5 linked regions of the Nothobranchius furzeri genome follow. Each later gene encodes a partner of the first gene's protein in a complex. Links are inferred from orthologs where the notes say so. Each region holds a gene or a part of one and is shown on either strand. Other genes may lie near its edges. The genes, in order: ran, sirt2, nup50, ipo13b and exportin-5.

What was found.
Region 2: the proteins of ran (region 1) and sirt2 are in contact, whole or in part, in a crystal structure (PDB 5FYQ), measured with the Homo sapiens proteins. The link is inferred for Nothobranchius furzeri from reciprocal best matches to the Homo sapiens genes RAN and SIRT2. Residues at the interface, in NP_006316.1 of Homo sapiens: Phe35, Glu36, Lys37, Lys38, Tyr39, Val40; in NP_036369.2 of Homo sapiens: Phe96, Arg97, Glu116, Phe119, Gln167, Ile169, His187, Ile232, Val233, Phe234, Phe235, Gly236, Glu237, Ser238, Leu239, Phe244, Gln265, Val266, Gln267, Pro268.
Region 3: the proteins of ran (region 1) and nup50 are in contact, whole or in part, in a crystal structure (PDB 7MO0), measured with the Homo sapiens proteins. The link is inferred for Nothobranchius furzeri from reciprocal best matches to the Homo sapiens genes RAN and NUP50. Residues at the interface, in NP_006316.1 of Homo sapiens: Arg29, His30, Thr32, Gly33, Glu34, Phe35, Glu36, Phe52, Val124, Asp125, Ile126, Lys127, Ser153, Asn154, Tyr155, Phe157, Glu158, Phe176, Ala178, Pro180, Ala181, Leu182, Ala183, Pro184, Glu186, Val187, Asp190, Pro191, Ala194, Tyr197; in NP_009103.2 of Homo sapiens: Pro344, Pro345, Lys346, Val347, Val352, Lys362, Cys363, Lys364, Phe366, Tyr367, Lys368, Asn371, Glu372, Phe373, Lys374, Glu375, Lys376, Gly377, Ile378, Lys384, Lys390, Gln392, Leu394, Arg396, Thr399, Asn400, Leu401, Asn403, Ile404, Leu405.
Region 4: the proteins of ran (region 1) and ipo13b are in contact, whole or in part, in a crystal structure (PDB 3ZJY), measured with the Homo sapiens proteins. The link is inferred for Nothobranchius furzeri from reciprocal best matches to the Homo sapiens genes RAN and IPO13. Residues at the interface, in NP_006316.1 of Homo sapiens: Lys37, Lys38, Tyr39, Leu43, Gly44, Val45, Val47, Pro49, Trp64, Gly74, Leu75, Arg76, Asp77, Gly78, Tyr79, Ile81, Gln82, Asn103, Arg106, Asp107, Arg110, Val111, Tyr147, Trp163, Arg166; in NP_055467.3 of Homo sapiens: Leu33, Tyr34, Tyr35, Ile39, Lys42, Gln46, Leu49, Met50, Gln53, Glu73, Tyr76, Phe77, Ser80, His83, Ile84, Ile118, Thr121, Arg122, Val125, Val172, Glu175, Glu176, Thr179, Ser414, Asp415, Arg784, Asp785, Pro787, Asp788, Pro829.
Region 5: ran (region 1) and exportin-5 share a complex: the UniProt entries of both Homo sapiens proteins name them as parts of the nuclear export receptor complex. The link is inferred for Nothobranchius furzeri from reciprocal best matches to the Homo sapiens genes RAN and XPO5.

Annotation. Positions count from the first base shown.
Region 1 is NC_091741.1:91,737,499-91,741,758, forward strand, and holds the start of ran (GTP-binding nuclear protein Ran), read left to right. Parts: upstream 1-1,454; 5' UTR 1,455-2,321; intron 2,322-2,814; exon of another isoform or gene 2,815-3,033; intron 3,034-3,156; 5' UTR 3,157-3,169; coding exon 3,170-3,214; intron 3,215-3,352; coding exon 3,353-3,437; intron 3,438-4,260. Other genes in the region: ndufs8b (NADH:ubiquinone oxidoreductase core subunit S8b), read left to right, coding at 1-66, 189-320. UniProt on the Homo sapiens protein: GTPase involved in nucleocytoplasmic transport, participating both to the import and the export from the nucleus of proteins and RNAs. Switches between a cytoplasmic GDP- and a nuclear GTP-bound state by nucleotide exchange and GTP hydrolysis.
Region 2 is NC_091753.1:65,615,929-65,619,962, reverse strand, and holds the start of sirt2 (NAD-dependent protein deacetylase sirtuin-2), read right to left. Parts: upstream 2,804-4,034; 5' UTR 2,263-2,803; coding exon 2,247-2,262; intron 2,152-2,246; coding exon 2,108-2,151; intron 1-2,107. Other genes in the region: dmac2 (distal membrane-arm assembly complex protein 2), read right to left, coding at 3,587-3,767, 3,849-4,011. UniProt on the Homo sapiens protein: NAD-dependent protein deacetylase, which deacetylates internal lysines on histone and alpha-tubulin as well as many other proteins such as key transcription factors.
Region 3 is NC_091741.1:31,616,097-31,619,607, reverse strand, and holds part of nup50 (nuclear pore complex protein Nup50), read left to right. Parts: coding exon 1-64; intron 65-231; coding exon 232-768; intron 769-889; coding exon 890-974; intron 975-1,045; coding exon 1,046-1,164; intron 1,165-3,511. UniProt on the Homo sapiens protein: Component of the nuclear pore complex that has a direct role in nuclear protein import. Actively displaces NLSs from importin-alpha, and facilitates disassembly of the importin-alpha:beta-cargo complex and importin recycling.
Region 4 is NC_091748.1:47,618,612-47,622,122, forward strand, and holds part of ipo13b (importin-13), read left to right. Parts: intron 1-561; coding exon 562-703; intron 704-939; coding exon 940-1,106; intron 1,107-1,361; coding exon 1,362-1,482; intron 1,483-1,643; coding exon 1,644-1,791; intron 1,792-1,876; coding exon 1,877-2,058; intron 2,059-2,236; coding exon 2,237-2,263; intron 2,264-2,414; coding exon 2,415-2,549; intron 2,550-3,511. UniProt on the Homo sapiens protein: Functions in nuclear protein import as nuclear transport receptor. Serves as receptor for nuclear localization signals (NLS) in cargo substrates.
Region 5 is NC_091752.1:19,803,396-19,807,590, reverse strand, and holds the start of exportin-5, read left to right. Parts: upstream 1-1,385; 5' UTR 1,386-1,564; coding exon 1,565-1,666; intron 1,667-2,007; coding exon 2,008-2,129; intron 2,130-2,200; coding exon 2,201-2,273; intron 2,274-2,353; coding exon 2,354-2,491; intron 2,492-2,774; coding exon 2,775-2,957; intron 2,958-3,040; coding exon 3,041-3,067; intron 3,068-3,163; coding exon 3,164-3,349; intron 3,350-4,195. UniProt on the Homo sapiens protein: Mediates the nuclear export of proteins bearing a double-stranded RNA binding domain (dsRBD) and double-stranded RNAs (cargos). XPO5 in the nucleus binds cooperatively to the RNA and to the GTPase Ran in its active GTP-bound form.

The sequences.
Region 1 (4,260 bases):
GACATGACCAAGTGCATCTATTGTGGTTTCTGCCAGGAAGCCTGTCCTGTTGATGCTATTGTGGAGGTGAGAAAAGAGAAAATGTCATCAAACAAAAAGCAACACTTCTTCCACAAAAAAGAATCGCTGCTTACCTTTTCCTATCCAGTATTTGCTGTTTGATATTTTTCTCTCAACCTTCTCCTCAGGGTCCAAACTTTGAGTTTTCTACAGAAACGCACGAGGAGCTTCTTTACAACAAGGAAAAGCTGCTCAACAACGGAGACCGATGGGAGCCTGAGATAGCAGCCAATATACAGGCAGACTATTTGTACAGATAAACCACTTCTTGTAAAAACAAACCATTTTGGCATCATGCTTATGTACATTATAGAAATAGCTACATGTTGTGGAGTTAAAATGCTCATTTTGAAGCAAGCCCAGTAATCATACATTAACTGGCCATAAACAAAAATAAACAAATCTAACAAAAGTTGTTCTAAAAGCTTTTTTATAGGCACACCTTCACTGTTGAGCTTTTTCTGTAAATCATAAAACTTAACTGAGTAACTTAAATTTTCATCTTGTATTTATGACTGGGGGGGGGGGGTGGCTCTGTTGGTTAATCCTTTATTAGAAAAATAACATCTTAAATCATTTAGATCCTGTTGTTGTCAGGAATCAGTCTTGCTGCTTCCCATCTAACTGAGGTTTATATCCTCAGTAATGCGTGTCTCTCTGAGCTAAACGGCTGTTTAGTCTGGTTACATTGGTTAGTCCTTATAATGTGTTTCTGGAAATCATTTCACTATTCCCTCGAGTTCTACTTAGTAAGCATTTTTGCAAAATTTTCTTTATCTTTCGTTATTTTAGATATATGGCAGTTTTTAACCTAATGATGGTCTCATGCGGTAATGATTTGACCTGTCTCCAACTGACTCGACTATTCCTTATCCACAGAATGTTTTCTACTCAGTGGATCAGCCAGGGTTAAATACTACAGCTCTTTTGCCATTGGCTAGAACAGGTTGGGAGCTTTCTTGTTGGTCAGGCACTGTTTGGCTTGTTTTGTTGTAGGATTGGGTTAGTTTGAACTGTTCATGTGTTGAATTCATTTGTTTTTACTCACTGATATTTACAGACACATTAAAACATTTTTTATTGTTTTTAAGTTGAACATTTCAATGTAATGCTTCTCCAGAACAACTGAGGGTAATTAAATAAACCATATTTTAAACCTAGGCTGGTGTTAGATTAGTTGGAGAATTGGGAGTGAAGCATACCTGCAGCTTCTGATTTCAACCTCAACAGAATTGTTTTGACCAGTTTGAAGTGTATTTTTATATAAAGGATATAAGTAATTACTATTTTATTTAGCTTTCTGAATGGACTGAAACATTCAACAGGATTGATGAGCTAACAGCTAGTTTAAGTGCAATCACAACTTGAAAAATGTCATAGCAGTTTAATAATGTAATTTAAAAAGAGTACAAATTAGTTTTAATTCTCTCTGCTTCTTTTGTGCCTCATCAACAGTCATAACATGTTTTTCAGGAAAATTCTTCAAGCTTGTTAGATCTGTTTTATTTAACTGCATGATCTAATATAAAACACAGGCCCAGAATCATTTGAACCTATTACTTGGTCCCATTTCTGTCAGCTCTGGTTTGCAGTTTCCACTAAGGTATGAACTACGGGTGAAATTATACAAATTGATTATGTATTTTTAAACCAGATGAGTTTTAAAGGCCACTCTTTAACCCTGCGTGTTAACTTTGCTACAGGAACAAACAATGGAAGAGCCGGGGTTAAAGCATGGACATAAACACAGAAATGTCTATAGAGTTAAGTAACACATATCATCGGGCATCTGCCTCCCTTCATTACTCCGTAATCTTTAGAGAGCCTGAAAGGGGTTCCTGAAGTAGAGAAGTACAGAAAGACACTGGTGTCTGGGAAAGGCTCCTCCTGTCAAAACCTCCTTTTAGTGCAAATGTCAAATTTATGATTTATAACCCCGAAGGTCCTTGGAAGTTTTCAGAAAAGGGCAGAAACCTTTGAACAACAAAAACTAGCTGGCTTCTTATCGGGCCCATATGTCTTGATCAACACTTTAAAAACATGATATATACGGTTTAATCTCTAGAAGTGTTGCTTTGAGAACAAAGCAGCGGAGTGCGCATCGTGAAGGTATATCAGACGGATGCTGATTCATGTTCTATATTTTATGCGTTTTTGGCGCTGCGGAGGCCACGTGACCAGGGCGGAAAGTGACTCATAGTCCACGCTGAATCTGCCGCGAACGCAGCCATTTACTCTTTCCTCTCTTCGCAGTGACACCGGTGAGTCGCTAGTTTCCTCTTCAATTGAGGGCCTTCCTAAATGTCAAGTTTGGATTGTTTTTAAGTCACTAAGAATGAAACAAAACTTTTTGGGTTATTTTCTTCTTTTGGGTTAAGGTCGTTTTGCATGTGCAGCCTTAACAGCAGTTGAGGGGGAAAGGCCGTCGCATTTTTTGTGCTACCAGCTAACGGGGAAGAATGGCTTCCATGCTGTGCTAGCTGTGAGGCTAGCGAGCACAGCAATGCTCCATTTCACGGCTTTGTTCTGGGATATTTGTTCCTATTACTCTTATTTGTGTATATTTGCCAGGGAGTTTTCACAATTTTTTCTTGTTCGCAATTAACGTTATTTACGGAAGGCGTCTTGTTTAGACCAGAAATTGACGGCAACATGGAACGCATTAGCTTCTGTGACTGTCTGATTGTTCCAGTCGAACCTGAAAAAGTGCGCTCAGGCATCATATGGCGCACTAAACTAACGCCTGTTAGCTTGAAGGCTAGTTGGTAACCGCCAGTGCTGAGGCTTTTGGGGGGCACGGTAGCTTTGTTTTACTTTATATTTTGGCACACCGGAGAGCAGTTAGAGGCTGTTTGTTGATGCGTTAGCAAGCTTTCATAAATTATAACGTCGCATTTGAACATGTCGGAACGTTAGCTTGGATAGAACATGCTAGAAGTTATCCCTTAGCTGTAAACTCGTCTGTACAGAATGGTGCGTGTTCAAAGCCCCGTGTGAACAATATTCCCAGAATGCCAAATTGAGTTATTGAGAATCTTTAACTTAAATCAACGTATAGATAACACTAACGGTAGATTCCCGCCTTGTTTGTTTCAGAATATTTGGAACCATGGCTGACTCTATGGGACAGTGTGTACCTGTGGCGGTGTTCAAGGTAAGAATCTACTTCTTAAGAATGATGTTAAGTATGATCTAATTATGGCGCGTGAGGGCAAAAATGTGTGCGTTTTAGCTGAGGTAACTGGTGTACCAGCACAAACCGGTCAGTAGATAACTGGTCTGTTCTTCACAGCTGGTGTTGGTCGGAGATGGAGGCACGGGAAAAACAACTTTTGTGAAGAGACACATTACAGGAGAGTTTGAGAAGAAGTATGTTGGTGAGTAACCTGAGAAAGTTAAATGTAAACTGTACAAGACTAACCCAGTGTTTGTTTTTACCAAATTAGGTTTGCCACTAATGTTTAGAACATCACATTTACAGAAAATATTGTAAAATCGCTGCATCACAAGTTTATGACACAGACGTGTAAAATGCACAGTTCTGGTCTTCCTGTGAAATTAGTGTTTGTTGAAATTACTTCATAAAACAAGTGGTTTTTATTATTCTTGTAGTTGAAAGATAAACACAACTATTTCATGTCCATGTTATTTAAAACCATTCTCTTATCAAGTCTATGAATAATAGGCCAAATAAGAATGACTGTCCTCAGTAATCCCAAAGAGTGCAAAAATGCAGAAATTCTAAGTACTAGTTACTCCATATAGCTAGCTATAAATGACTTCCAGCATCAGTCACATAACTGATTGTAGTAGATGGAAAATCAAGCAATACCAACCTTTTTATATATTAGTTTAACAAACTTGGTGTCATTCTGCAATGTCTGAAATTCTACAACTAACAGCTGCTTTGGGTTGGTGATGTTTTTAAATGGAAAACGGTAAAACAATGAGTCAAACATTATTTTTTGTGAAACTATACAGGGTTTAAACTTGTAGATAACATCTTTGTCCTAATTTATATTGAAAAGAATTGAATGGGAGAGAAGGGAGATCCTGGATGAATACTGTTCCCGGTATTATAAATATATTAACATGTCAAACATTCAACATAAAGATGATGAATAATGTGTACTTTATTGATCCCCTTGGGGAAAATCATTCTGTTTGATTCATTCATGAGAAGCATTAAGCTACCATTTC
Region 2 (4,034 bases), on another chromosome or scaffold:
CCTGCCAGACTCGTCCTGTTGAATTCTGCACAGACAAAGAGTCTGGGAACTCACAGGCAGAGAGGCACACGAGGGGCGGGACTAGGCAGCTCAAAATAACCAATCAGGAAAAAGACGAAATGCCGACTGTACCGCGCGACGCTGTAGTTTTCTACCTGCAGTAAAAAATGGCGTCTGGCAACGGCGCAAACATCTTTCTTTAGAAGAAAGGCTTTTAGCGCTTGTCCAAGTCATTTAGACCAGAGGAAAGAGCCGCAGCGAACTCCGCTTCAGTCGACATGTTTATGACAAACTCGGCGTTGTGGTGTGTGACGTATGCTACTCAGCGCTGATTGGCTCGGTTAGAATTCTCAGGGGGTGGGGTTATTTCACTTCTGCTTCCGGTCAACAACAAGATGGCGCCTGTGCTTGGCTTAGCCACAGTCACCGGCCATTTTTTCAAACTTTTCTCCACTAACCTCCTCTTTTCCACCTTGCTCCTGTCTGCGATCCTCTTCAGTGGTGTCCCCGCTACCATCTCCTATGATCGCCAGACTCTTTAGTCCTCACGATCGCCCAAGACGCAACGAGGACGTACCATCCTGTTTGTTTACCTGAGTGGCGCACTGGCCCGGAACCAATCGACGGTCCCGAGCTCCCCGCCTCCGGCAATGTTTGTCCGGTCCCGGGAAAACGTCGGAGGAAAAGAGGTAAACGAGCAGGAATCCAGGTGAGAATAAGACTTCTCTTAAAGCGTGGTTTATCTGGTAAACATCGGCGCGATCTTCTAGCTTCTTGTCCTTTGTTTGGTGACCTGAGCGCCACTTCCACATTCCCGCCAGGCCGCGTTGCAGCGCGGTTCATCCGTCCAAGTTTTTTAAGGTCGCTTTATCAGAGTGCTCAGACACGTGAAAAGAGAGTTACAGTAGTCTAAGTGTGAGGAGATGAAGGTGCGGATAACTGTCTCAAGTTCAGAGCGGGACAGAATGGGACTCAGCTTAGCAACGTTCCTGAGATGGAAGAAGGAAGAGCGAATAAGAGAACTGACATGAGAATCCAGGGTGAGAGCTGGGTCAAAGGTCACGCCAAGATTCCTGTCAGAGCGTTTGAAAGAAGAGTGAAGGAAGCTATTAAATGGGAAAGACCTACATTAAATAGAAGAGGAAGCACTGGGTTTCAACTTTCTACCACCTATAATGCAGCTTTGACTCTAATTCCCAAACAGTTTTAGTCTAGGTCACCGCCTCCTACATCTAATCAATACAACTTCCACACAATAGAGGCTAACGACTCCAAAAGGAGTATGGAGGATGGGTATTCATAGGTAGTTTCTACTCGCTAAGCAGTGATACACAGCTGTGGTTTATATGCTTGACTCTCCCCTACACCTGTCAGAATTGACAAAGATGAGAAGCGAAACATCTTTAAGAAACTAAAGGAGTCCCGTTGCCTTCATTAGGAGCTACTTTGGATTTCTTCAGGAATATAAAACTTCCAGCAGAACAAAGGTGGTGAAAACACCAGACAATTGAAGTTAAATGCACAAAATGTTCAAGGGGTGGGAGAAATGATGGACCTGTGGGAGTCGCACATGTGGCCCACCTCCAGACACCAGAAACCTTTATTAGTAGTAGTAAACATTGTATTTAAGCTCCAGATGTTCTAGGTGCATTCTTATCTCCTATTGTGTATACTGAGACATCTGATTGTTTGTTTTTGTTTTTTTTTTGGGGGGGGGGGGGCGTTTACAGTCAAAGGGGGAGACGTGGAGCTCATGCAGTCATCTGCTGCTTTCTTCATCACATCTCCTCTCACCCACGGGTCGGAGATGACCAAAACCATCCGACACACCTGGTGGTCCGGCCTCGCGGCTTGTCACCGGGTAAAACACCCAGACGCCTCGCTAACAACGACAACACAGAGGTTCAGCACTTCGTCAACTTTAGTCTGAACATAATTCCCGGACGTTTTTCTAAACATATCAATTGACTCTAAATGAGTGTTTTTCTTCTCTCGACGTGTCTTCCTTTGGTTTCGTCTCCGTGGCTCCACGAAGGCGGAAGAGCTGCTACAGGCCACCGGGTTCCCACCCATCGACATAAATATACGTTCCCACCACGAGTCTCACCTGTTCTTCGGGTGAAACCTCCTCTTCTACTTGGTTGGGAAAATCTGCGATAAAAAACAAAACGTGTCAAGTAACCTCGACTGACTAGTTAGCTAGCGCAGCGATGCAAGTTATTGTTCGGACATGACAGCTGCCCTACCTGATGCATCAGACATCTATCCGTCTGTGGACACGTAACAGCACTAAATGTAAAGCCTTTAATATTAATAAATGTTTTCAGGCCTCAGCTGTTGGCTCTACTTCCGCTCCGTATTATTTTTGTCCGTCATAAATAGCGTCCGAGTTCGTCATGAACCCGATCATGTGGTTCCTACTCAGGTTAACAAACCCGAAAATGTAAGCAAAAAAATGCCACCACGGGAGATTATAATTTATAGTACAGATATTATTAGTATCTGAAAATGAAGAATAAACTCTACAGAAAACAAAGATCTTTACACACAGAGGTGTGTTTGTCCAGCTGGAGCTAGCCAGGTGCATCTTCACCGCTCTGCTCTGGGCTGTAACTCTGATGCAGCAACGTCTCTCTGGATCATTGGCTTTAGTTTTATCATTCAATCTTCTACTGTCAGGATTAGATATATAGACAGCCAGACTATAATGTTCAATATGAAAATAGAGAAAAATGCTGGACGTGCTGCAGAGGTGTAAGAAATTTTATCTGGTGCTCTTCAGCCAAGGGATCCACATGAATGTTGGGCAAAAGGAGATCTGAGGCGCTCAGGAGATGCAACATCAAAAAGCCTTTATTGGCTACGAAATTTCCAGGTCTTAATTGAGAATTGGACTTTGCTCCTTTTTTGTAATTCTATGTTTTCTTACCATATTTACTTGTTTTTCCTTTTTCTCAATTCTCTAAGTGTAATTTAACATGTGTAAGTATGTCTCCTTACAATATTGTTTAGAATCTAAAAGTGTTTTTTGTGCGTTATTGGTCATCCAATCATGATGCTGCCTGCCTGCTCAACTTCAGCAGATGTCACTGATTGGCCTTCTTAACATGGAAGTGAGAGGACCGACAAACATTTTGAGCCCTGGCGAAGGCCCCGTGGGCTGAAACGCGTCGGCGCTTATGTTTCTAACTATTTTAGCCATGCACCAATAAAGGCTTTTTGATGTTGCATCTCCTGAGTGCCTCAGATCTCCTTTTGCCCAACATATAATGTACAATAACAGATTTATTCATCTGAATTTTGAATAGAATAATCTTTATTAAGCAAATGTACAATCAAGACCACAAACGAAAACTCTGCAAGGACAAAAATAACATTTAAATGATACAGAAAAGAGCTTCTTCATATTCATATTCCCATGATGGAAACAGGAAGTGATCATCTCAAACCTAAACAGCAAATAATCTAAGAAACATGGGCAGTTTGTCTATCCCACCCTTTTTTATTTATCTGTATTTATTTTTTTGTGTTCCCTCATAAGTCATAAATAAAAATATACAAATATTATAGCTGCTGTCCCATCGATCTACTGCTGCTGCCCCTGTACACGCTCCTCCTCCACACACACCTTATCAGCAGGTCTCAGTCTGTGGCCATAACCATCAGCTATGATCTGACAGTGTGGCAGCATCTCCTCCAGCAAGATGATCACCAGCCCGGGATTCTGAAGCCTCGGGAGGGATGACACGTTCAGGTGCTTCAGTCTCCTGAGCAGAAAAACCAAAAACATGTTCCAGTATTGTTTATTATTTATAAATTAGACTCTGCTATGAGTTTAGGCTCTTTACTTGAGATTTTTAAGTGTTGCCAGGCCGCCTGTAGTGATGAGTGGACAGTGAGAGATATCCAGCTCCTCCAGAGAGTCCTGCAATACATGGAGTTTAGCCAGGAACCAGTCGTCCACCTCAGGACAGCCCTGAAGCTTTAGTGTCCGTAAATGGTGCTGATGCTCTGAAAACACACAAATATTTCAT
Region 3 (3,511 bases), about 60 Mb from region 1:
GGATTCGGTCTGACCAACGGGGGCAGCAAGGCTCTGTACACTGGGGTCTCCAGTGCCACAGTAGGTGAGGACAACCCATCATTCTCCTAATGTCGCCTGTCTTCTGGAGGACTTAAGTCCACCAGATGCGTGATCAGGACCCTGACCGATACTCAGAAACAGATATTCAGAACCTCAGAGGTTGCCACATTGACTTGACTCATCAGGACCACCTCCCAAATCTTCTTTTAGGTCTGACCTTCAATGGGCCCTATGTCCCACCGACTGCTGACATCACCACCCGACAGACCAATGGCTCCTCCCCCAGCCCAACCCAGAGTAACAAGGAGTACCGGCGGCAACTGACAGCGCTGAACTGCTCTGTCCGTGACTGGATCACCAAACATGTGAACGACAACCCTCTGTGTGACCTGAACCCCATCTTCAGGGATTATGAACGCCATCTCAGCAGCATCGAGCAGCAACATGGAGGAGGAGAAGCTGCTGATGGAGGCTCGGAGACTCCTCCTCCTTCAGCAGCTCTGTTCTCTTTCAGTAGAACCACATCAGAGGACTTGGCCCAAAAAGTCTCTGGCACTGCTCCAGTGGCTTCTGGCATCACGTTCAATTTTGGCCAGAAGGTTGACAGCTCCGTTCTAGGATCTTTAAGGTCCAAATCAGCTGCCTCCAGCTTCTCTTTCTCCTCTTCAAGCCAGACCTCCCTTTTTGGAGCTCCTGGACCTGCTGCTCTGCCACCCTTCGGTGGGACCAAACCCGATGAGGCTGCAGGTTCTGTTTGATCTTTTATCCGTAGTCAAAAATTATTTCATTACATCAAAGTTAAACACAATTTAGGCCTTTAGGAATTCCTGCGTGAGATGTTGACCAGATCCTAACCCACTTCCTGCAGATGAAAATGGAGATGAGGAGTCGGAAGAGCCACCCAAACCAGAGGTGAAGGAAGTGAAGGAGGATGACGCATTTTACTCAAAGAAGTAGGTCCAATAATCAGCCTGATGCCTGAGGCGTGGAGCTGCTAATGAAACCTGTGTTCCGATGCTTTCAGGTGCAAACTGTTCTACAAGAAGGAGGCGGAGTTTAAGGAGAAAGGAGTTGGAACGCTGCACCTAAAAAACACCTCAGATGGAAAGATCCAGATGATCATTCGTGCGGACACCAACCTGGGTAAACCAGACTAACAAACAAGTGTTAAGATGTTGTAACTGAAGTCAAAAATCAAATTTTCTGTTTCTGTCAAAACTGGTGAAAACGGTTCAGTTTTCTTAAGCCTGGTTTATGCTTCTCCGTCAGCTCCGCAAGGGACAGACACGCACGGATTGACGGAAGCGTTTTGCGCTTTTACTTCTCCGTCTCCTGGGGAGTGTTGCAAAGCAATTGCCTGACAGGACCACAGAGGGCGTAGCGCTGTTCTGTGGTATCCTGTCATGTATCGGTCCAAGATCGTGTGTTTATATTGTGTTTTTTGTGTATATAAGAGACTTTTAACACGGACGTATTTGTCTCTCATTCTCCCACCGCTTCATGCGCTCCCCACCTCTAAACCCACGTTTCCTGTCATTTCCATCCACAAATAAAACGCTTGCTGCGCATCTTTTCACTCCTCCAGTCACGGGAGAATTAAACGTTCATATTTTTAGAGTTTTTTTCGCGAGGTATTCTTCAAGCTTCTCCGTGTCTGCCGCTAGTTATCCTCGGCTCTCTTTGCAATGGCGGCGCTGTAAACAACAGCGGCGTCCTGCCCAATCACAAGCTTGCGTAATCCGTCTCGTTCGACGGATGTTTAAAAAAGTGGGCTCGACTCCGTACGTACTTGCGTGCCTGCCGGAGCCCTACGCAAGGACGGATAATGGCGTTGCGTGTCTCCGCACTGACGCAGACGGAGAAGCATAAATCAGGCTTTAGTCAGTCAAGCCTCTACCAGAGTCTTACTCCACCCACATTTTCAGTGTAAGAAACGGACCACAAGCAAGCGTCGCCTGGTAGGTGCAGTCAGTGACAGACTGCTAGACACTCATCTATACATTTATCAGCAAAAAATGTTCTCATTCACTTGTTCAATAAATTATCTTTAGTCTTGGGTATTAATGAATGCCTTGTGGACAATTTTCCCTAATCACTTGGAGCACAGAGTAGAACAAAATGCAGCTTAATCACATAGTAGTGGTAGCAGCTACCCTGTAAGATGTCTTTAAGTGACATATGTGGAACACAGTTCTCTGAGAGAAATTAGATTTTCTTAAATGATTTGACAGTATTCTTTAACAAAATGAAAATCTGAACATATTTTATGGATGGTGAAGTGTAGTTAAACTGAATTTCTGCAATTTTCATTCAGTCTGGTCAGTATCTGTAATAGTCGATTAGGTCATTGCAAAAAATTCAAATTTTTTTAGAGGGTTTTGAAGAATCTTTCCTGAGTTTTCCCCTTTCAGAAAAATGTATGATTCTTCAGAAATCCGTAAAAGTGATTGCCTTATCATGTACTGTGGTGAAATTAATTCTATTTTCCTAAACTAAATGATTTTACATGACAAAGTATGAATGAAATGATGGTTGTACAGGATGACAGATGAATGAAATGATTGAGTGGAAGTTAGGTGTTTTAGCAAAACCTTTGAGTATCTGATAACTTGAGGTCTGGGTTGTAAAGTCAGTTTGGCTGGATGGTTTGATAAGCTAGAGATTATTCATGAAACCATCCAACGCTATTTGTGCCAGGTCTACGCACCCTTACGTGAAGATCAGGTCGAGATGGACACTGCTGATGGTGTGAACCTCTGGCACCGGAACTTGTAGCCAGCTCTGAGTACAACCCGTCTAGTATCAGAATCAGAATGAATTTTATTGCCAGCGCTCCAGCGATCCAGAGCATAGGAACTTGACTCCACAGTACAACCTGACCAAGATTACACACACACACATGTAGACAGGACAGATACAGGCAGACCACGGGAGCAGCCATGACGGCGCTCCTTATAGTAGATGAAGAGGGGATTACATGAGGAGAGTTCAGGGGAGAGAGAAAAAGGCATTAACAGGGTTACACCGGCAGGGTGTAGCACTCCAATGCAAAAAAAAACCACCCAACATATAAGCACAAATGTCACAGTTCACAACATGAGACCCAGTAGGTAGGGGGGAGGGGCTGGGACCCTGCTTTCCTCAGCGGGGGCTGCCTGTGTGGCGCTCAACCGGCTGAATCCACAGGTGGGAGGGAGGTCACGGGAAAGCACAGAGAGCAGTGAGTGCCTTCATCTTGATGACCTCGATGCAGAGACCACAATCTGAAGGTGGGGGGTAGGTAGGGTTTCACAGCATTTGTCTGCATTCCTTCCATCGTGGGGGTTGTTTTGCATGCAACTCAAGGCTGCTTATGGCATCAGATTCGATAACAGAACTTTGTTTGGGTCAGACAGAGATAATTTTTCCTCTCTGCCTTAAGTCTGTATTGATCATTCAAGTCCTCCAGTGAAGCCAATTCGGTGATTAAACATCTCCACACCGTCCGGTG
Region 4 (3,511 bases), on another chromosome or scaffold:
CTGCTCCTTTTCGGACTTAAATATTTGATTGCTTTTGTGTTGAGTTGTGTTGTATAAAAAATGTTTTTTTTTACATTTGAAATAAAGTACAAGTCATAAGTCAAAGTCAGTGATGTCATACATACAATTTAAAATATAAAACACGTGTAACAGCCTTAAGCATGGATTCTAACATCACAGGAGTGAGCCAAAATACTAAAATCAACAATCATCCAGTTTAAAATGAGAATAAAATAGACAAACGGCATACAACAGCCCAATATAAGATGGGTAAAAGCAATCCAATAATGAGGTAAAATGCTAAGAAACACCTAAAATCAACATCTCATATTGTGTTAAAAGCCAAGACCAAGAGATGGGTTTTCAGTGCCAATTTAAACTAGGGGGAAGGCTGTTTGACTTGTAGAGGCAGGTTGTTCCCGTGGAAGTCAGTCCTCCTCCTTGTCTGTTTTTAAATCCCTATATCCAGTCCAAACCTCAGGAATCAGACAGCTGAATAGATAGTTTATATAAAATAAAATCACATTCTTCTTTCTACTGCTCTTATTTCTGTACCCACAGGACTCTGTTGGAGCAGGTGGATCACTGGCAGAGCTTCCTGGCTTTAGTAAACTTGATCATGTTTTGTACGGGCATCCCCGGCCACTATCCGGTCAACGAGACCACAAGCTCCCTCACACTTACCTTCTGGTACACACTACAAGTAAGAATTGTTCACATCTTAAATCAACCTGCTACTTGGTGTGCTGGGACAGGCTTTGTTTTGTCTGTAAACTGACATCCTAATGCTAAAAAAATAAATAAAAGAATTCCTGATAAATGTTTTTACTTTCTTTAGTAAATAATTCGTTACTGAATTGTTTTCACATGTAAATGCACATTCTCGTTTCCTTCAAAATGCAAATGAAGTATTTGTGGTGATGTTTTCTCCATTTACAGGATGAGATCATGTCATTCGAGACCGATAAACAGGCGGTGTATCTCCAGGTCTACAGGCCAGTGTATTTCCAGCTGGTGGACGTTCTGCTGCACAAAGCCCAGTTCCCCTCTGACCAGGAGTATGCATCCTGGTCCTCTGATGAAAAGGAGCAGTTCAGGATTTACCGGTGCTTGTTTGTGCATTTGTATTCATGTCCGTCTCTGTTAACACGTGTTCTGCTGTGTTTCACTGACTGTTCAGTGTATCAGAAATGACTCCCTGACAGGCTGATTGGTCAGAAAATGAGTCTGTTCTTCTCTCTAATGGACTCTTACTGAACTGACAGCTGAGCAAGCAAAACGTGTCTGTGGGATGGATGAGCTGATAAGATGTCATGATTTCGTGCCACTGAAGCATCTGTTTGTGTTTGTCCGTCCTTCAGGGTGGACATCTCCGACACGCTCATGTATGTGTACGAGATGCTGGGAGCGGAGCTGCTGAGTAACCTGTACGATAAACTAGGGCGACTGTTGACGAACACAGAGCAGCTGACATCATGGCAGGTGGGTGAAGCACGCAGACGAGGAAAGAATTATTGCTGCTATTTTCTATTTCTTCCTGTCTCACAGAGACGCCTGCACTGAAAAAATTCAGCACTCCACTTCAAATCAATACAAGCTAGAGGAAATGAGATTTGAAGTCTCAGCCTGTTCTTGTCCTCCAGCACACAGAAGCATTGCTGTACGGCTTCCAGTCCATAGCAGAGACGATAGACGTGAACTATTCTGACGTCATTCCTGGCTTGATAGGACTCATCCCCAGAATCAACATCAACAATGTCCAGTTAGCCGACACTGTGATGTTCACTATAGGTAAGGGGGAAATGTGATCAAAACCTTGTGATGGACAGTAGCTAACGGTTTTTGCTCTGTGTTTGAATCGCTGCTGTCTGTGTAGGGGCTCTGGCTGAATGGTTGGCCGATCACCCAGTGATGCTCAGCAGTGTGCTGCCTTTGGTGTTGCAAGCATTAGGAAACCCCGACCTTTCCGTTTCTTCTGTCTCAACCTTAAAGAAAATCTGCCGGGAATGCAAACACGACCTGCCACCTTACGCAACCAACATAGTAGCAGTTTCTCAGGTACATCGTTTAAAACAAGCGTGGAAGCAGTTTATAACACAAGTGCCTCTTCATCACGTTTCACATCTGAGGTGTTGTGGATGTGTATAATGTTCCAGAAATAACTCGGCTGTGTTTGTTTAAAGTTTCTTTCCTTTGTCTTTATTCTGCCTTCACGATGACTCTCTTGTTTTTCTAGGAGGTGCTCATCAAGCAGATCCATAAGGTTTGTGTTTGTTGTCTTCACTCTGACAGCTCAGAAGAAAGGAAATCTAAAAATAACATCATGTGTTTACAGGCTGCAGTTTGTTTTAATTAGAAGTATTTATTGACTTTCAGCTCCTAAGTTGAAGCTAAACCTGTGTCTCCTCCCACAGACAAGTCAGTGTATGTGGCTGATGCAGGCTCTTGGCTTCCTGCTTTCGGCTCTCCCCGTGGAGGACATCTTAAGAAACCTTCATTCCCTCATCACTCCTTACATTCAGCAACTGGAAAAGCTAGCAGATGAGACGGTCAGTACACACAGCTAGAGAAAAGCAACACACACACACACACACACACAGAGCAGGAACAGTTGGACCTTGGCCAAAAGGATCAGAGCTGGTGCCTGTATGGTGTTGCTGCAGTGGAACATTTCTCTGCAGGACCAGATTGGTTTTGACCCCGCCTGCACCGTGGGCAAGTGACTCACATGGAAGCAGCAAAGATTCACCTTCTCACTCGTTAATGAAGTAAAAACAAAAGCTATTTGTTCATGTTTCTCCACCTTGTGATTTTGTTTGTCTTCAAAAAGAAAATTCTTCACTTTGCTGAAATGTCACACCTATCAGAGCTCAGATATTTACTCTTCTGCTGCGATGTGTGAATACAGAGCAGGGCTGATCTAAAAATACTTTGATATTTGCTTTTTACTCACATCGGTTAAACCCCTGGCACAGAGGAACAGAGATACTAAGCTTTAATTTCTCTCTTTGTTCCTGTCTTACTTCCCCACCCTCCACACAGTCTGGTCCAACTTTCTCCCTCACGTGTTGTCTTCCACGCAGCTTAATGTCACAGCATTACGTCAGGCAATGCAGTCAAGTGCTGATTCTGGAGCTAGCTAAACAGTGGCACCTAGTGGGAAGACCTCTGTGTTGTTCCTCATCAGGGCTGATGGGGAGCAGTGTGTGAGTGTGGGGGAGACATGCATCTGAGGAAGAGGAAAGGATGGAGCTATCAGGGGGTGTGGCAGCAACGTCCACGTTCTCTTTTTGGGCGTTCATGTTCTATCACTATGGAGACAGCAATGATTAAACGTTAGCATCAAAGTAATTGTTTTAGCTTTAGGATACATGTGTCTGTTGTCAAGGATCTGTTGCTATTTTGGGGACAAAGTGTTGTCCACTAATAACTGTTTTCTTGTTCAGACCAAAAAGAATATCCTCCTCATTTCCTGATGATCTTTACCTCCTTTTTTAACTCATTACTTTTT
Region 5 (4,195 bases), on another chromosome or scaffold:
TTGTGAAATGTGTAATGTCATCTCTTCGAAAACAAAATTAAATAAATAAAACGCCGGATCAAGCGGTTGCTTAGAAAGGTCAAACTGAGGAACTAACCTGAACTGGATAAAATCAAAAGGGTCTTACTCAGGAAGCAAAATGAAGTTGGGACATAAAACGGAAGTTGTTGGCACAAATATCTCCTTCACTTGATTTTCGCTTTGTTTTTAATAGCTAACTAAATAAATAAATAAGAACGAAAGCAATATGTTTTTGCTGGATTTAACTTTACTTTAAATAAGTGAAAATCCACATTGACCTGCATGGTGCCAAATTGAGCTATTATCACATGGGAGCACTAAAACTATCTGTTAGAGAAGGCAGCACAACATCACAGATAAAATCTAAAAGGAAAAGAATAGAAATTCTCTTTATTGTCCTCCAGTTGGAACATTTGGTGTAACAGCACCAAAGTAAATTGACAGTAGCAAATAAGATTTACAATAATAATAAATACTAAAAGGCCATACAGGCCTATATGTGTAAAATAATATTTGAAAGATTGAATCAATTGAATTTACCACATCTGAAAATAGTGTGCACGAGATTGTAGCTAAATGTTGTGGAGTGAGAAAATGAATGGAAAAAGTTATTGTTTAAATGATGGACATAAAATGTTTCTAATGTGAATAGACTGAGTAAATATGCAAAATACTAAATGTGATAACCTAGAAATAGATAAATAGTAACGCTGTTAAGAAACAAAGTAATATGTTGCTTCTTTACTTGATGTAATTGTTGAGTATCCATACTTCATTGGAGTAATTATCTGACTGGAGTATTAGCTGACTTATTCGCTCTATTTCTTACATTTTCACACAGTTATCTCTATTTTCCATTCCTTAAATTTTAAAAATAGCCTAGTTATTGCTATTTTATTTTTGCTTGTCGGGGTTAAAATATACAAAAACAAAAAAAAACCTATCAAAATCAATTGTGCCGTACCATCCAGATAGTGACTTTGATTAGATCTTGATTTTAAACGTCTACTATTCTGTCACCTTATTAGTTTGTATCATCCAAAATGCATTCATCTTTGGTGGACATACATGCAACTGAAACAAGTAGCCTAATGTATTTAAATGTGTCAACAATACAAGATTATAGTCCTTGTGGCATTTGGTGAAAGTAGTTGGTTTAGCTGAGATTGCAGCATGTTCTGTTAGAAATTGAAGTTGTCCATAATTATAATTATTTATAATCAGCAGCACAGCAATAAAAATATACATTGTGGTGTTTTTTAAGCTTTTGGGGTTTTGATAATGTTTCACAAAATCCGTTTGATATTTAGATAAGACTTCAAAATTCTGACATTTGCACAATTTTGATTGCATTTATCAAAGCACTTTAAACTACAACATCCAGAGTTCCCCTCAACGGCAAGCCGAAGGATTCAAACCAAAAAGCAGCTTCGCGTTTTCTGCACGTTGGCGCTTCCCATTGCTGCACGCTTCTTGTGGTGGTTTTGCTTAAGGAGGTTGCTTGCTTTCGTCTTTAACGGTGTGACAGACGCTACCTGAAGTCATGGCTGAGCCGGTGGCTGCCATGTGCGATCAGCTTACAAAAGCTGTGCTTATGATGATGGATGCAGAAACAAGCCAAGTTGACCGAATGGAGGCCCTAAAGGTAGCATCGTTACCGGTTGCTAGCTAGTTAGCCACTACTCGTTAGCGAAGCTAGTAATTTCTTGCTGTTTTCAAGGGAAACATTATTAGCCCACTTAACCGAATCAATTACTGGTATTTTATGTAGTAATATCTTCGTAACAGCATGTAGCAAGTTCTGGTTTAGCATTATTATCACGTAAATGATTACATAATTTTACTTGAATTAGCTCATTCATTTGTTGTTGCGTTTACAAGCCTTTGCATGAACAGGTGAATTCCACTTAGAGGTGTTGATACTGAGATTAAATAACATCAAATTAATTTAACTGCCTATAAAATAAAGAAGTTTATCTTGCTCAGTTCTGTGAAGACTTTAAAGAGTCCAGCACCCTTTGTGTCCCATGTGGCCTTCGGTTAGCTGACAAAACCCACCCAGCTTTGGTGAGACACTTTGGTTTGCAAATCCTGGAGCACGTCATCAAGTAGGTGGACCACTGACACAGATAAACAAAGAATAAAGCACGTATGATTTTCATTTATTTTCACCTTTCAGGTATCGGTGGAACAACATGGAGCAACAAGAGAAAGTCCAGTTAAAAGAGTGTGCCATGCAGCTGCTGTCTTCTGTAGGTGAAAGAGTAAAATAGTTCAGATGAAACGTCAGCCCTGACTGTCTTCAGTATCTGTCACTTTCCCTTCTTATCAGGGTACCTGTTCTATCATGGAGGAAGAGAGACACATCAAAGATGGCCTATCTCGAATAATCGTGGAAATGATCAAGAGAGAGTGGCCTCAGAATTGGCCGGATATGCTGGAGGAGATGGAGGCTCTTACCAGTCGGGGGGTGAGTGACATGTATGGTCCAGGAAGTGTTGCTTTTTTCCTTAACCACTTTGGATTCAATTTAAATAGGATTATGTAATGCCTCGTAAACAAATGTACTCCTGTGGGGGATTTATCACGCTCGTTTTCATATGACGTCATTGCTCAGACTTGGCCACTGTACAACAGGTGTCTTCATCTCTCCCCTGTCAACATTAACAGTTTTATTGAATCGGTTGACCTAAGAAATACAACCTCCCTTGAGATGAAGTGTATAAAATAGAATAAAAATGTATATGTCACAGGAGACGCAGACAGAACTGGTCATGCTGATCCTTTTGAGGCTGGCAGAGGATGTCATCACTTTCCAGACTTTGCCCAGTCAGCGGCGCAGGGACATCCAGCAGACGCTCACTCAAAACATGGAAAGAATCTTCACTTTCCTGTTGACTATTCTGCGTATTCAAGTTGAGGAATATCGCATAGTGGTCAGTGTGGTCCAAACTTTGGTACTTTTCTTTAACTTTATTGAGTTTTGAACGGCTGAATTTGATTTTTCTTTGTCATTTAGAAAGTGGTGCCCGCGTGTGAACTGCAGGTATAAAAAAAAAAGCAACATCTAGACTAAACTCAACGTGGCCACCTTGATTTCACTTGTCTCATTGTCTCTGATGTTTTGCCTACAAACATGCAGGCCAAAGCTCACTGTCGCGTTGCCGTGGCGGTGCTCAACACACTCGCAGGCTACATAGATTGGGTGTCATTGGTGCACATCACCAGCGGAAACTGTAAGCTGCTGGAGATGTTGTGCCTACTGCTGGTTGAACCAGAGCTGCAGCTGGAAGCTTCGGAGTGTCTGCTCATCGCTTTGAGTCGGAAGGTGAGTCGCAGGAAAATAAGTGTTACTTTAGTTTAGTTGGTGTGTCATGGTGTGTCTTCACCTTTCTCAGTGGCCTAGTGGTAGAGTGTCCGCCCTGAGACTGGGAGATCAGGGGTTCGATTCCTGGTCGGGTCATAGCAAAGACTTTGAAAAAATGGGACCCAATGCCTCCCTGCTTGACACTCAGCATTAAGGGGTTGGATTGGGGGGTTAAACCACCAAATAGTTCCTGAGCGCGGCTTGTCTGCAGCGCACCGCTCCCCCAGGGGATGGGTCAAATGCGGAGAACAAATTTCGCACACACACCTGTGTGTGTGACAACTAATGGGACTTTAACTTTAAAGTGCTCCAGACTAGCAGAGCTATAAATAAAGCTTTATTTGGACTTAAAGCAGAAATCTGGAGCTTTTTTATCCAACACCATCATCTAGAGGCTTATGAATGTATAGCACCTTAAGCCGTCCTCACCACTTCCGTATTTACAGCTGGAAGCAACACCTCTGAGCCCTCACTCATCAAATGTTTGTAGAAATATTCCTATATTTCTTTCTATAAACGAAATGTAGAATGTTCGTAGGAACGGTAAAAGTCCTGATTTATGAAACATGCGGTGGCCTCTCCTACGTACGTTTCTTCGCAATCGTCTAACGATAAATCCCACGTTTATCGTTCATACCCAGGTGCTTGTGTCTGTTCAGTCATTTACATACAGAAACGCCCATTTAACCATATTTGGTCACACCACATCCTCAGCTCATGAAGGAATTCCCTTGGTTTTTTCCCCCCAAAAAATTTTTTTTAATTGAAAGCAAGATCGAGACACGTCATCCCACTCACCAGACAAAT